Oryctolagus cuniculus: one gene and its partner. The protein of the gene in region 1 purifies or fractionates together with the protein of each later gene. This does not show direct contact. Links are inferred from orthologs where the notes say so. Each region holds a gene or a part of one and is shown on either strand. Other genes may lie near its edges. The genes, in order: AP3S1 and AP3M1.

Region 1 (6,737 bases):
CAGGACCCTGCGCTGTTCTTTTGTCTGCTCGGCCCTCCCCGGGTTTGCTGCTGGTTCTTCCCGGGTTGGCTACCGACCCTTCCACCTCCGTGGAGGGGCAGGCCCCCCTGCCACTTTCCCCACTTCCGCAGGGGAGCGGCACACCGCCGGCCGGCTCTCTCGGGGGCTGCACAGGTGCTTCTCAGGTGTTCCCTGGTGCATGTTGTCTCTCTCCTCCTTTATAGTCCTCTTCCACCAATCCCAACTCTGCTACCCACACGCCGAGTACGCTGCTCTCCTCCAATCAGGAGCAGGATCAGCTCCTGCAGGTCATCACTCAAGTTGGCGAGAGGCAGCTGTGTAGTTGTTACTCCCTTCTCAGCGCCATATTGTGGGAGAGCAGATGCATAGAATAAGTCTTAATTCCAGTAACAGTCTAGTCCGAGTTGCTCCCCACAAATAATACAAAAAGAAGTGGTACACAAAGGAAGGAAGGTGTGAAGATAAGAATAGGGAGGCAACTCAGTTGGATTAAAAGCACGGTGTGGAAATGAGCAGTGAGAAGGGGTAGAGAGCAAAACTCACAGGAGAGGAGATGCAGGCCTAAAAACGTCAGGATAGAGAGAATTACATACATCGACGATGAAATCACCAAGAATTCCAACAGGGCAGTGAATGTCGGTAAACTAAGAGCCAAAGTCCAGTGGGCGACAATTCTCCACGGGTGGGGTATTCCTGCACAGACTGTGAGCAGAGGCATGGTGGTCTCTGCTCTGGGCTCTCCTTGCAAGCACACTATGGATAGGCTTACTTTCCCCCAGGAAGCAAAGACAGTGTACTGTAATGTAAATTTGAAATGTTATCTCAAAAACCAGTAAAGTGAAGAAAGAAAGGGAGAGGGAGGAGAGTAGGAGAGACAGAGTGGGAGGGGTGAGGGAGGAGGGGAATAGCATTATAATCCTAGAATTGCATCTGCAAACTACACTGAATCTGCCAAAAACTACAAATTTAAAAAAATTAAAATCTTAAAAAAAAAAAAAAAGAAACAGTGCTAATTATAGAAGAGTTCAATTCTCTAAGGTCAGGGTTCCTCACTCATAACTCAACCCACAGTGTGTGCCCCTCTTCAAATGCTTGTACTTTGGCTCATGTGCTATTTTTTTATTTACTGTGGCTAATGCTTACGTTGCTAATCATAAAGGTCAAGTTTTCGGCTTCCAAGCTGGATAAGATTTCCTGACGAAACCGCCAAAGGATCGAAGGTAGAGAGAGAACCACAAGCAGATGGGTAGGAGTTAGAGCTGACAACATGAGACAAAATGTGGAGATGTTTCAGGAGACAACCCGTTCTGGAAAAACCAGTGAAAACCAAAAAGAACAAGAGGGCAAAGAGCTACTTCTTGAGAGTGCCGGAAGTGGTGTAACAGAGAAGGCAGGATTTAACGTGGATCAAAGTGGAGCAGCATGGAAGAGGCTAAGGACAAGGAGGAGTCTGCTCATCACAGCCCTGGAGTTCCAGGACGTCACGAAAGGTTTTCAGGAAACACGAAGAAAGAGAAGGGAACAGATGGAATTAGTCATAACTGGTCTAAATCAGATTAAATTCGTCTACTTTTTTTTTTTTTGACAGAGTTAGACAGTGAGAGAGACAGAGAGAAAAAGGTCTCTCTCCCATTGGTTCACCCCCCAAATGGCTGCTACGGCCGGCACTGCGCCGATCCGAAGCCAGGAGCCAGGAGCTTCATCCAGGTCTCCCATGCGAGTGCAGGGCCCAAGCACTTGGGCCATCCTCCACTGCCCTCCCGGGCCACAGCAGAGAGCTGGACTGGAAGAGGGGCAACCGGGACTAGACTCCGGCGCCCATATGGGGTGCCGTCGCCACAGGAGGAGGATTAACCAAGTGAGCCACAGCGCCGGCCCCCATCTACTTGTTCTACATCCCCTGTCCCTCTTTGATCCACCCCGTATCTACTGTGGACACTTTCTTACCAAACAAAACATCACTTTAGAAAATTTAGAAAATGTAAGTTTTTAAAAATATAAATGCCAAACTGTTATTTAAGACAGTAAGAGGCAAATGTTAACTTACTTGAATTAGATCTAAAATGCCAAGTTCACTTTCTGAAGAATCCACACAGAAGACAAAATATAACGTTGCATAATGTCTATAAATCAGTTTGTTGTCAGATCCTCCAATTAATCTAAATGACAAAACAAAACAAGTGAAATGTTATAGGGAACAAAACACAGAACATTTTCATTAGCTCAAGCAAACTGACAATGTGTTTAAAAATCTTTTATTAACCAAACATAACATTTAGTGGCAAAGCATTCAAGAGAACTTACTTCTGAGACTAAGCAAATTAAGACAGCTATTTTCTTTAGAGACAAAGTAAAAAGCTTAATTTTAGTTCACTCATTCGTTAAACTATTCAGTGATTAATTCTATGTGTCAAGCACTGACGATGGATACAGAGCAACTAACAAGAAAATTGTCAGTGGAAGGTGCCACACAGAGAACCCAAGCAGGGCGAGGCCTCCAGAGGGGCTGGCCTCCTCAGCCGGGAGGTGAGGGAGATGAGGAGAGTGCCGTGGGCCTCAGGGATTCAGAGAAGAGCATGTCAGCGCCAGGTGCAACTAACAAAAGGGCACTGCAGCGAGAAGGAGTAGAAGAAAAGGCAGGCCAGCAGACAAGGAGAGATTAGTGACAGTGAGGTCAGAAGAAGCAGAGATTAGGACAGAGGGCGTCTGCAAGTGCTTACTAGATTTAACTCCACAGGTCACAGTAAGTTACACAGCTTAAGACTGATTATGAACTAGGAAAAAAAAAGAATGAAAGTTCTTAAATTTGGGACAGATTTACCATCTAGGTCGCCTACAAAAACATATGCTGTTTTGAGTACAAATGCAAGAGAATTAAGTTATTACTCAGTTCTTCCATCAAATACTTTTATTTATATTGACTGGAATTTAAATATAGTTAAGCTTTCACACTTTTTAAGTTTATGAGCTTGCCTTCTCAAAAGACCCCTACACACTAACAATTTAGAAAGTAACGTTAAATGTTGTCAAAGCTAATCAAACATTCATATGGAATTAGACATCATTTCTCATTTGAGTCAAGTTAACCCCTGAGCTCCCACCTTCTCTGTGTATGCACTACATCTGTGTCCCCTAACAAGAAACCAAAGTTCCTACTATGTTAGATACTTTTTTGGGAAAGGTATTTAACTTAAAAGTATACACATGCACTTCAAAGATTCTGAAATCATGTTTATGGGCTATGATTGCAACTGTTTCTCTAAAGAGATACAAAGAGTACAGACAGCGCTTTCACAAACAGCAATTCAGCAACGACCTTGAGTTTTTCCTCTAAAAGGAGGAAACCTGGCCTCTGAAAGCTGTTCCAACACAGCCATTAACATTAACAGAAGACAGCAAAAATACTACCACAGCAAGGGTACCTTTTCCCTAACACAGACTCTAGGATGCTGCAAGCATGGATAAAGTAATTGGGTCCCTGGAGTGAATTCCTGGATCCTAGCTTCAGCCCAGCCCAGCCTAGCCCCAGCCACTGTAAGTCTTTGAGGAGAAAACCAGTGGATCTTTTGTCTCTCAAATAAAATTTTAAAAAGTATTTAAGAATTTTTATCTTGAAATTATAGTATAACACTACCCCAAACTCTTGTACGGAATGTAAGTCACCATATAAAACCATAAACTTCAGTCCAAATAGTTTATCTTAGTGGAGAAAACTGAATTTCAAGAATTAAAGTGACTGGACCAGGGACACAAACTTGATGGTGATAACACTGAGACTGACTAAGATGCAATATCTATTTTCTACTTTTCAAAAGGTTGGAGGGCAGGTGTTTGCCTGCGATGGAATCCTGCCTTGCTACTGATCCAGTTTCCTGATAATGTGCATACCCGGGAGGCAACAGATAAGGACCCACGTTCTTGGGTTCCTGCCCTCCAAGTACCAAGAGGGAGTTCCTGGCTTCCAGCTTTGGCCTGGCCAGGCGGGTGAGGGTACCCAGGGCACTGGGTCAGCAGACAGAGGAACTCTCTCTCCTTGCTTTCTTCCTCTCCCTCAGTCACTCTGCCTTTCAAAAAACTAAAAAAAAAAAACTAAAAAAAATAAAATAAAATAAAAAGTTGGGAAAGAATAATCATAACTCCAGGCCCTGATTTCTGGTTTAAACAGTACTCTAGCTAGCTCCATCTTGCTTTTCTACTGCATGCAATATACTGTGCTAGGAGACACATTTCCTGGGAGGGAAGAAATTAAGAGGCTGGGATGACAAGAAGTGATAGTAAAGGCAAACACTATTAAACCCGAACAGACACTTAAGAGAATTAGGTACAAGTGAAATTCAAAGTCAGAAGCAGGTACATTTGTCTCGACTATTAAAACAGAAGCCTGCATTGGTAACAAAATTTATACCTATTTTAAGTGTGAACCATACATTTAAGTGCAGTAGGATAGAACTTAAGAAACACAACGAACTACACATGATAAAAAGTAACTTAAAGTCAGGTAAAAATGGATTCCCTGCTATCTGACCTAGTTTTCATAACATGCACCATACACAAAATACAGAAAAATACAAATTTCTCTAATCTGTGACTATTTACAAATCTCAGCTGAAGTTTATTTTTAAATATCAATAAGGAACTATCTTATTAAGTATATTAATTATATAAAAGAAGAGGCAACATTTATGAAAACATTTAGAATTAAACTACTTTCATGGAATCCATTAATTCAGAAGTATTTACTTATATATTTTGCAAGCTAATTATAAGTAATGGAAATGTTAATAGAAAAAATCTTTTAGCTGAATTCTCATCTGTACATAGTGCAAAGACAGAAACGTTAGAAGAATAAACTTCAGGGCCAGCGCCAAGGCTCACTAGGCTAATCCTCCACCTGCAGAGCCGGCACACTGGGTTCTAGTCCCGGTTGGGGCGCTGGTTCTGTCCCGGTTGCTCCTCTTCCAGGCCAGCTCTCTGCTGTGGACCGGGAAGGCAGTGGAGGATGGCCCAAGTGTTTGGGCCCTGCACCCCATGGGAGACCAGGAGAAGCACCTGGCTCCTGCCATCGGATCGGCGCAGCACGCCAGCCGTAGCGGCCATTTGGGGGGTGAACCAACGGAAGGAAGACCTTTCTCTCTGTCTCTCTCTCTTTCACTGTCTAACTCTGCCTGTCAAAAATAAATAAATAAACCTCAGTTTTACTTGTAATAATAAAAGATACAATCCAAATTTTTATGGACATTTACCCTAAGGAATACTCTTTAGTCTTAAAAAAGAGTAAGGGCTGCCTTAGACGTACTCACAGGCAGAACTTGTTAAAACATTACACAGGGGCAGGCACTTGGCACCACGGTTAAAGCAATGCTTGGGACACCTGTGTCCTGCATCAGAGCGTGTGGTGACAGCTCCAGCTCTGCTCCGAGTTCCAGCTGCCTGCTAGCGCACACCATGGAGGGCAGCAGTGGAACTATCAGGAGCTCAAGTACCTGGGTTCCTGTCACTCATGCTGGGAGACTTAGACAGAATTCCTGGCTCCTGGCTTTGGCCTAGGCCAGCTCTGGCTGCTGCAGGCATTTGGGGAGTGAATCAGAAGATGGGAGATCTCTCTCCCTGCCTTTCAAAAAATAAAATGATTATTTTTACAAATCTAAGTGTTAAGATGAAGTAAACCAAACAACAACAAGTGAGCATACACAGTGTGATCTCAGAAGTAAAAAGGTTACACTTCCAAATGCTGGTCGGTGCAAAATCTGTTTTCTGGAAGGAAATGTAAAACCAGGACGAAGAACAAAGGCTGGAAGAGGGAGACCCTTATTGAATATTTTACTCTTCCCTGGAACATTTGAATGTTTCCAATATGAACATATTAATTTTAAATAAAATGCCCTTATAAGATTTTTAAAAAGAAAAACAGACTGCACAGCTTCAAAAGAAATTCTTTAAGTTAGATTAATAGCTAACATGGGTAGCAATTATCTCACCTAATTCAACTAATCAAAACTAGAAAACGTTTGCACTGAACTGCTGTAACAGTACACACTTTAATTATCCAGTCCAAAAATCAGAAGCGTCTATGAAATGCTTTACTTACAATCCTCCTTCCAGGAAATTACAGACGTTCTCATCCCTCTTAGAGACCAAGTGGAAGGTCTCCCTGATGATCTGCTGCTGTGTGTCTTCACTCTGAGGGAGAACAAGTCACATACATTAGGACTGAGTGTACAGGTTTAACAGAACTTTAACAATTTTAAAAATAACAGGGATTAATCTCTGGGAAATCCATCTAAGTGAGTGAGGGGTCCTCAGAGAACCAACTTAAAACCCAACACTGTTAATGAAAAAAGGGGGATATGCTTTGACGTTTACCACTATGATAAAAATAACTGAGTTCTAAATTGCAAAAACCAACAAGGAAAAAAAACACATATATTACATTTACTAGAAAAAGGGAAACTATATATTAACTAGTCAAAGCCCATTGTTTCACAACACAGTAAACTGAAACAGAGGCAGAGTTAGAAATAATTCATGTAGCTAATCTATATTTGAATGGAAGAATGATCACAAAGTGTAGCGTATCCAACTGAACATAAGCATTATTAAACACAGACTGAAGTACGAGGCCATCCATCTTACCCATCTTTATACAAGCACAACCTAAACCAAGAACTGGTTCAATAAGTATTTACTAGAACAACCAAACAATTCATATTCCAGCA
Region 2 (6,737 bases), on another chromosome or scaffold:
TCTTCTTTTACATTTCCCAGGCAGTAGTAATGTTGGGGACACACTTCCCACTGGGCAGCTGTCCAATATCCCATGGCGCCGGGCAGGGGTAAAGTACACAAACAACGAAGCCTATTTTGATGTCGTTGAAGAAATAGATGCAATTATAGACAAATCAGGTAATTTGTGCATGAGGTCCAATTTAGGGAAAAAACAATTCAGCCGACATAGGCTGAAAAGAAAATTAAAATCCTTTGGCAGTGTAATTTCAGTAGAAAGGCATTTATTTTCTAAGGATTTAGAACTCTGTTTATTTTGCCCAGAGGTTACATATAATTTTCATAACCACTAGTTGAAGTCTGCCAAACATTCGTAAATTAGAAATCATCATGCCTTACTTACAGATTAATTATTACTCTGTATACTTCTCTTGCTTGTTATTTATTTGTAACACTTACTGCATATCTATCATATACCATACTTTTACTACTATTTTATATGCCGTACTACTAGCAGAGGGCTGTGTCTGACTATTTTTTAGCCAGACCAGGTGATGGTACTCTATCACAATCATAAAATTTAATTATTAAAAATATTCATAATATAACTAGGGTGACTGTAGTTCACAAAATTGTATTATATACCATATGAAGAACTGGAAAAGAAGAGCTGATAGGCACCAAACAAAACGAAAAGGAGGCCGGCGCCGCAGCTCACTAGGCTAATCCTCCGCCTTGCAGCGCCGGCACACCGGGTTCTAGTCCCGGTCGGGGCGCCGGATTCTGTCCCGGTTGCCCCTCTTCCAGGCCAGCTCTCTGCTGTGGCCAGGGAGTGCAGTGGAGGATGGCCCAAGTGCTTGGGCCCTGCACCCCATGGGAGACCAGGAGAAGCACCTGGCTCCTGCCATTGGATCAGCGCGGTGCGCCGGCCGCAGCGCACCGGCCGCAGCGGCCATTGGAGGGTGAACCAACGGCAAAAGGAAGACCTTTCTCTCTGTCTCTCTCTCACTGTCCACTCTGCCTGTCAAAAAAAAAAAAAAAAAAAAAAAAAAAGGAAGTAAACGCTTAGTTGCCTAGCTCAATCAATCCAGGCTCTGTATATATGTTGAAAGTATACCCCAAAGCAATAGAAGATGGCCCAAGTCCTTGGGTCCCTGCACCTGCATGAAAGACCCAGAAGAAACTCCTGACTCCTGGCTTCAGATTGGTGTAGCTCTGGCTGTTGCAGCCATCTGGGGAGTTAACCAGCAGATGGAAGACCTCTCTCTCTCTCTCCCTCTCCCCCTCTCTCTGCCTCTCTGTAACTCAGCCTTCAAATAAATAAATTAATCTTAAAAAAAAAGAAAGAAAGAAAAAAGAATACCCATAAAATGTGCAAGTATTAAATGTTTATCAAAAAATTAGTAAAATTATAAAGTATTTTTAAAAATCTAGTCCCATCATCACATTTTATATGTAAACTGAGGCTGGGGCTGGCACTGCAATGTAGTATGTTAAGCATCTGCCTGCAGCACTGGCATCCCATATAGGCGCCAGTTTGAGTTCCTGCTCCATTTCTGATCCAGCTCCCTGCTGATGGCCTGGGAAGGCAGAGATGGCCCAAGTTTTTGGGTCCCTGCACCCACATAGGAGATGCTGAAGAAGCTCCTGGCTCCTGACTTCTGGCTTCGGCCTGGCTTAGTCTCAGCCGTTGCAGCCATAAGAAAGAAAGGAAGAGCCTTAGAAAGGTTGAGTGATCCACTAAAGGTTGTATTTGATATGTGATGATAATTAGTGAATTTTAGCCAATATCTTTTTTTTAATAGTAATTGATAAAGGGAAAGGAATCCTTCCTTTCAGCTTTGCTTTTCTTTTTTTACAGATTTGTTTATTTATTTGAAAGAGTTACACAGAGAGAGGAGACAGAGAAAGAGATTTTTCCATCCACTGGTTCACTCCCCAGTTGGCCTCAACGGCCAGAGCTGCGCCAATCCGAAGCCAGGAGCTTCTTCCAGTTCTCGCACGCAGGTGCAGGTGTCCTAGGACTTGGGCCATCTACTGCCTTCCCAGGCCATAGCACGGAGTTGGTTTGAAGTGGAGCAGCCGGGTCTCGAACCAGCGCCCATATGGAATGCCAGTTCTTCAGGCCAGGGCGTTAACCTGCTATGCCACAGCACCGGCCCCTAGCCAATATCTTTTCTTCAGTGATTACTCTTTCCACTGTAGCATTCTGTCTACAGAAAAATAGATCATAGCTTCTATTTTTCTTTTTTTAAATGTTTATTTATTTATTTGGTAAGTCAGAGTTAGGGTGGTGAGGGTGGTTCACTCTGTAGATAGCTGCAACAGCAGGACTGTGTCAGCTCAAATCCAGGAGCTGGGAGCTTCATCGTGTCACCCATGTGGGTGGCAGGGACCCAGATGGAAAGTGGAGCAGCTAGAACACAACCTGGCACACGTATGGAGTGCTGGCATTGCAGGTGGCAGCGTTACCCACTACATCACAATGCTTATCCCAAGTGGCTCCTATTTCTTAAAAGTTAGGAAGTAGTTTGCTGCATTTCCTAATAAATTTCCCTCATTTTTCAAGTCTGTTGTAACAATTTAAATTCATATCAGTAGTCTTAGAAGGTGAACTCTCTAAAGGAGATAGGTTTGATTTTCATTAGCATTATCATATTCCAACCAGAGTTAGCTACAGACCATGGCACTAAATGAAAAGGCTTTCTGAACTGGTGTAATATATCCCCTGTCCACTGACCTGTTAATCGAGGTGCAAAGCTTCAGCAAGTCTGACACCCAGGGGGTGGCTCCATTACTCCAGATATAGTGATAGCTCTGCTAAAGACTCAGATTCCATTGATACTATCAATCTTTTTCTTTCTTCAGGATCTACAGTCTTTGCAGAAATTCAGGGGGTCATTGATGCTTGCATTAAGCTATCAGGAATGCCCGATCTCTCCCTATCTTTCATGGTAAGTTTTGTTTTCTTGTTTGCAGCAAAGGGCTACATTTATTCCTCCAGGTGGAAATTTCCAACTCATAATAGCATACATATGAAATACTCAATGAAGCGATAAGTACTACAACTAAATATTAAATGAGGTGATAAGTACTTTAGATAAGTTTGTATCTAAGAGTGTAAAGGATCATCTGAGAAGTATTGCTAGCATAGCAGCTTTCAGGACAGTAGTTTACATGATGAGCCTGGCCTTTATGAAAAGGCTGAGAAGTCTTTGCTTAGATGTGCTAAAAGTGACTTAAAAGTTAGCTGGCAAATCTCTACTTTAGTTTTCACTGAATAATTATCTGCTTTACTAACAGGAAAGGGCACTGGACTTTGTCTTATCATTTTGGACTTAGCATACCACACTGCAAAGAACAATGAAAAGAATTGAGTTATGGTGCTCTTTTACCAATTTGTCCTGAACCTCAGTTTTTTTACCTATGCAATGGAACTAATATTATTCATCTTTGCTCCCTGGTAGTTATTGAAATTCAAATAATGTATATAAAATACTTGCAAATTGTGAAACGTTTAAGGTTCTGTGGATGTCATAATAACTAATAAATGCTCACATGACTTTTATCTTTTTGACACATAATAACATAGTTAAGGGCTACAGCGTGATAATACATTTACATAAACAGTGTATAATGATCAAATCAGTATAATTAGCATTTCTATCTTCTTAAATGTTTGTCATTCTTGCTATTGGGAACTTTCATATTCCTCTCTTCTAGTTCTTCATAAATCACAAATTGCTGTAGTCAGCCTACTGTGCTAGAACTGCAGAACTTACTCCTTCTAACTGTATTAGGAGATCCATCTTAACAGCCTCCCTCTGTTCTCCACCACCTTACTCCATCTACCTCTGGTAATCACTGTAATTTTTGGTGAGATCGACTTTAGCTTCTGCATATAAGTGAGAACATGTGGTATTTGTCTTTCTGTGCCTGGTTTATTTCATTCATGACTGCTTTATCTTTAGAAAAAATACTAATATCTCATAATACTGAACAGAGTTACCATAGCTGGTATACTTTATGAACCTGGCTGTCTTGTGTTTTCCTGGCAGAACCCCAGGCTTCTGGATGATGTCAGCTTCCATCCCTGCATCCGGTTCAAACGCTGGGAATCTGAAAGAGTTTTGTCATTTATTCCTCCAGATGGAAATTTCCGACTCATATCCTACCGTGTCAGCTCACAAAAGTATGTTGATGTGTCAGCCAGAATCTTCCATCATGTATCAGTGTACTGAATAGAACCTACTTTGCCTTGTTTCATTCTACACTTGGCTACTTGAGTTCATCATGGTTGACTTAATCACAACTCAACAAGATACCCAAAGAGAGGCCGGCGCCGCGGCTCACTAGGCTAATCCTCCGCCTTGCGGCACTGGCACACCGGGTTCTAGTCCCAGTCAGGGCGCCGGATTCTGTCCCGGATACCCCTCTTCCAGGCCAGCTCTCTGCTGTGGCCAGGGAGTGCAGTGGAGGATGGCCCAAGTGCTTGGGCCCTGCACCCCATGGGAGACCAGGAGAAGTACCTGGCTCCTGCCATCGCATCAGCGCGGTGCGCCGGCCGCAGCTTACTGACTGCGGTGGCCATTGGAAGGTGAACCAACGGCAAAGGAAGACCTTTCTCTCTGTCTCTCTCTCTCACTGTCCACTCTGCCTGTCAAAAAAAAAAAAAAAAAAAAAAAAAAGATACCCCAAGAGAACTGATGAGAATACATGCCTGAAATAATCTGTACCTTGAATCTAAGAGTACATAGTAGCAGTAAATAAGACCATAGCAAAGCCTATGCCTGAGAACAAGCATTTTGGACTATGCATAACCAGAACCCGGAACTGGTACCATAATTTTATCAAAGTCTGTAGACATTTGGCCAACAGAAGGAGACAGGCCTTACCTTTAGCTCTGCAGACTTGCCCAACATGCCCACTTCAAGTCACTCTCTGCTGCCGTGAGTTTCAAAGGAACAATTCAGCATCGTAGCTTATATAGCTATTTTTTTCCTTGAAAGGATCTGAGGGTATTTGGGTGGTATCATCAAGACAGGACTGAAAAGCAGAGAAATGTTTCTTGGCTCTCATCATTTATATTAAATTCTAAATTACCTTTCAGTGGGATCTTTTTAAAAACTAGAACCATTTGTCTCAATTGCTTACACTGTTATTAGGCTTCAGAGTTGGGTTCTGATCTGTATACCTCCTGCTGAGAAATGATAGATTTCCTAGACCACAGTGGTACCAGAATGTGCTATACCCAGCTTTCCTTTGTGCAGATGCTAAAGACGCAGTTTCAGAAATATGGATCCCTACTGTGGAGTAGACGCAGGGTAGAATACTCTGGACTGGTATTTTCAGGGCAGCTCTGAAGGTATCCTAACCATTAATTGTGTATGTATATGCTTTTGTGTCTTTTAGTCTAGTGGCAATACCAGTGTATGTGAAACATAATATCAGCTTCAAGGAGAACAGTTCCTGTGGCAGATTTGATGTAACGATTGGACCAAAGCAGAATATGGGCAAAACTGTTGAAGGAATTACAGTGACAGTTCACATGCCAAAAGTTGTGCTGAATATGAACCTGACACCAACACAAGGCAGCTATACCTTTGATCCAGTCACCAAGGTACAGCCACTTCAGATCAAGAGTGAGCAAGTGTTTCCTGAAATCTCTTTTGTGATTTGGGGGAAAGAGTAGAGGGGAGGTTTACCACCTTGTTTAAAACTAAAGTTCCTATCCAAACCAAACAAAGGTCATACTAGGCTGTATTTCTGCCACTGGCTGTAGAGAGAATCCCACGTCTGCCCCTGAGTAGATAAACAGAGACGTGAAACTGACTCTATCTTCTTTCAAAGTACCTTTACTCATCTGTGATAACCCAAAGACTGTCTCTACTAATAAGAATGTAAAGGCTTTTTTAAAACAATTTATTTATTTATTTTGAAAGGCAGAATTACAGAGAGGCAAAGGCAGAGAGGTCTTCCATCCGCTGATTCACTTTCCAGATGGCTGCCATGGCCAGGCCTGGGCCAGTCTGAAGCCAGGAGCCAGGAGCTTCTTCCAGGTCTCCCACGTAGGTGCAGGGGCCCAAGGACTTGGGCCATCTTGTACTGCTTTCCCAGGCCATAGCAGGGAGCTGAATTGGAAGTGGAGCAGCTGGGATTTGAACCAGTGTCTGTATGGCATGCCAGCGCTGCAGGTGGCAGCTTTACCTGCTACGCGACAGTGCTGGCCCCAGTAAAGGCTTTTTTAAGTGTTTTGTGGATATATGAAGATACTATAATCTATTGTTAGATCTTTCTGTAGAAACCAACCATTATTTTGTTCCTTTTTTTTAAGGTTTATTTACTTATTTATTTGAAAGGCAAAACAGCAGAGAGAGGGGGTAGAGAGAGATCTTCCACCTGCTGGTTCACTTCTCAAAAGGTCCTGCCAAAACCAGGAGCCAGGAACTCCATCCTGGTCTCAAAAATGGTTGAGGGACCCAAGGACTTGAATCGTCTTCTGCTGCCTTGCCAGCCTCATTAAATACGCAAGCTGGATCAGAAGCAGAGCAGCCAGGACTCAAACCAGCACTCCACATGGGATGCCAGCATTAAAAGCAGTGGCTTAATCCATTAGGCCACAATGCCAGCCAGCCCCCTTTTAAAAGTTCTTCATTTCATATTCTTCCACAGGAGACATTGTTCTGCCTATTTACACATGCCTATAGCGGAAGATTATGAAGCAACTACAGCATAGTCATTGAACTGCCTGATAAAAAG

What was found.
Region 2: the proteins of AP3S1 (region 1) and AP3M1 purify together in Homo sapiens (co-immunoprecipitation; 4 studies listed by BioGRID and IntAct, counting the BioPlex papers as one, with this or other methods). This does not show direct contact. The link is inferred for Oryctolagus cuniculus from reciprocal best matches to the Homo sapiens genes AP3S1 and AP3M1.

What each region holds. Positions count from the first base shown.
Region 1 is NC_091437.1:6,073,397-6,080,133, reverse strand, and holds part of AP3S1 (AP-3 complex subunit sigma-1), read right to left. Parts: intron 6,202-6,737; coding exon 6,110-6,201; intron 2,181-6,109; coding exon 2,069-2,180; intron 1-2,068. UniProt on the Homo sapiens protein: Part of the AP-3 complex, an adaptor-related complex which is not clathrin-associated. The complex is associated with the Golgi region as well as more peripheral structures.
Region 2 is NC_091446.1:65,186,084-65,192,820, reverse strand, and holds part of AP3M1 (AP-3 complex subunit mu-1), read left to right. Parts: intron 1-20; coding exon 21-158; intron 159-2,846; coding exon 2,847-2,932; intron 2,933-4,036; coding exon 4,037-4,170; intron 4,171-5,390; coding exon 5,391-5,598; intron 5,599-6,737. UniProt on the Homo sapiens protein: Part of the AP-3 complex, an adaptor-related complex which is not clathrin-associated. The complex is associated with the Golgi region as well as more peripheral structures.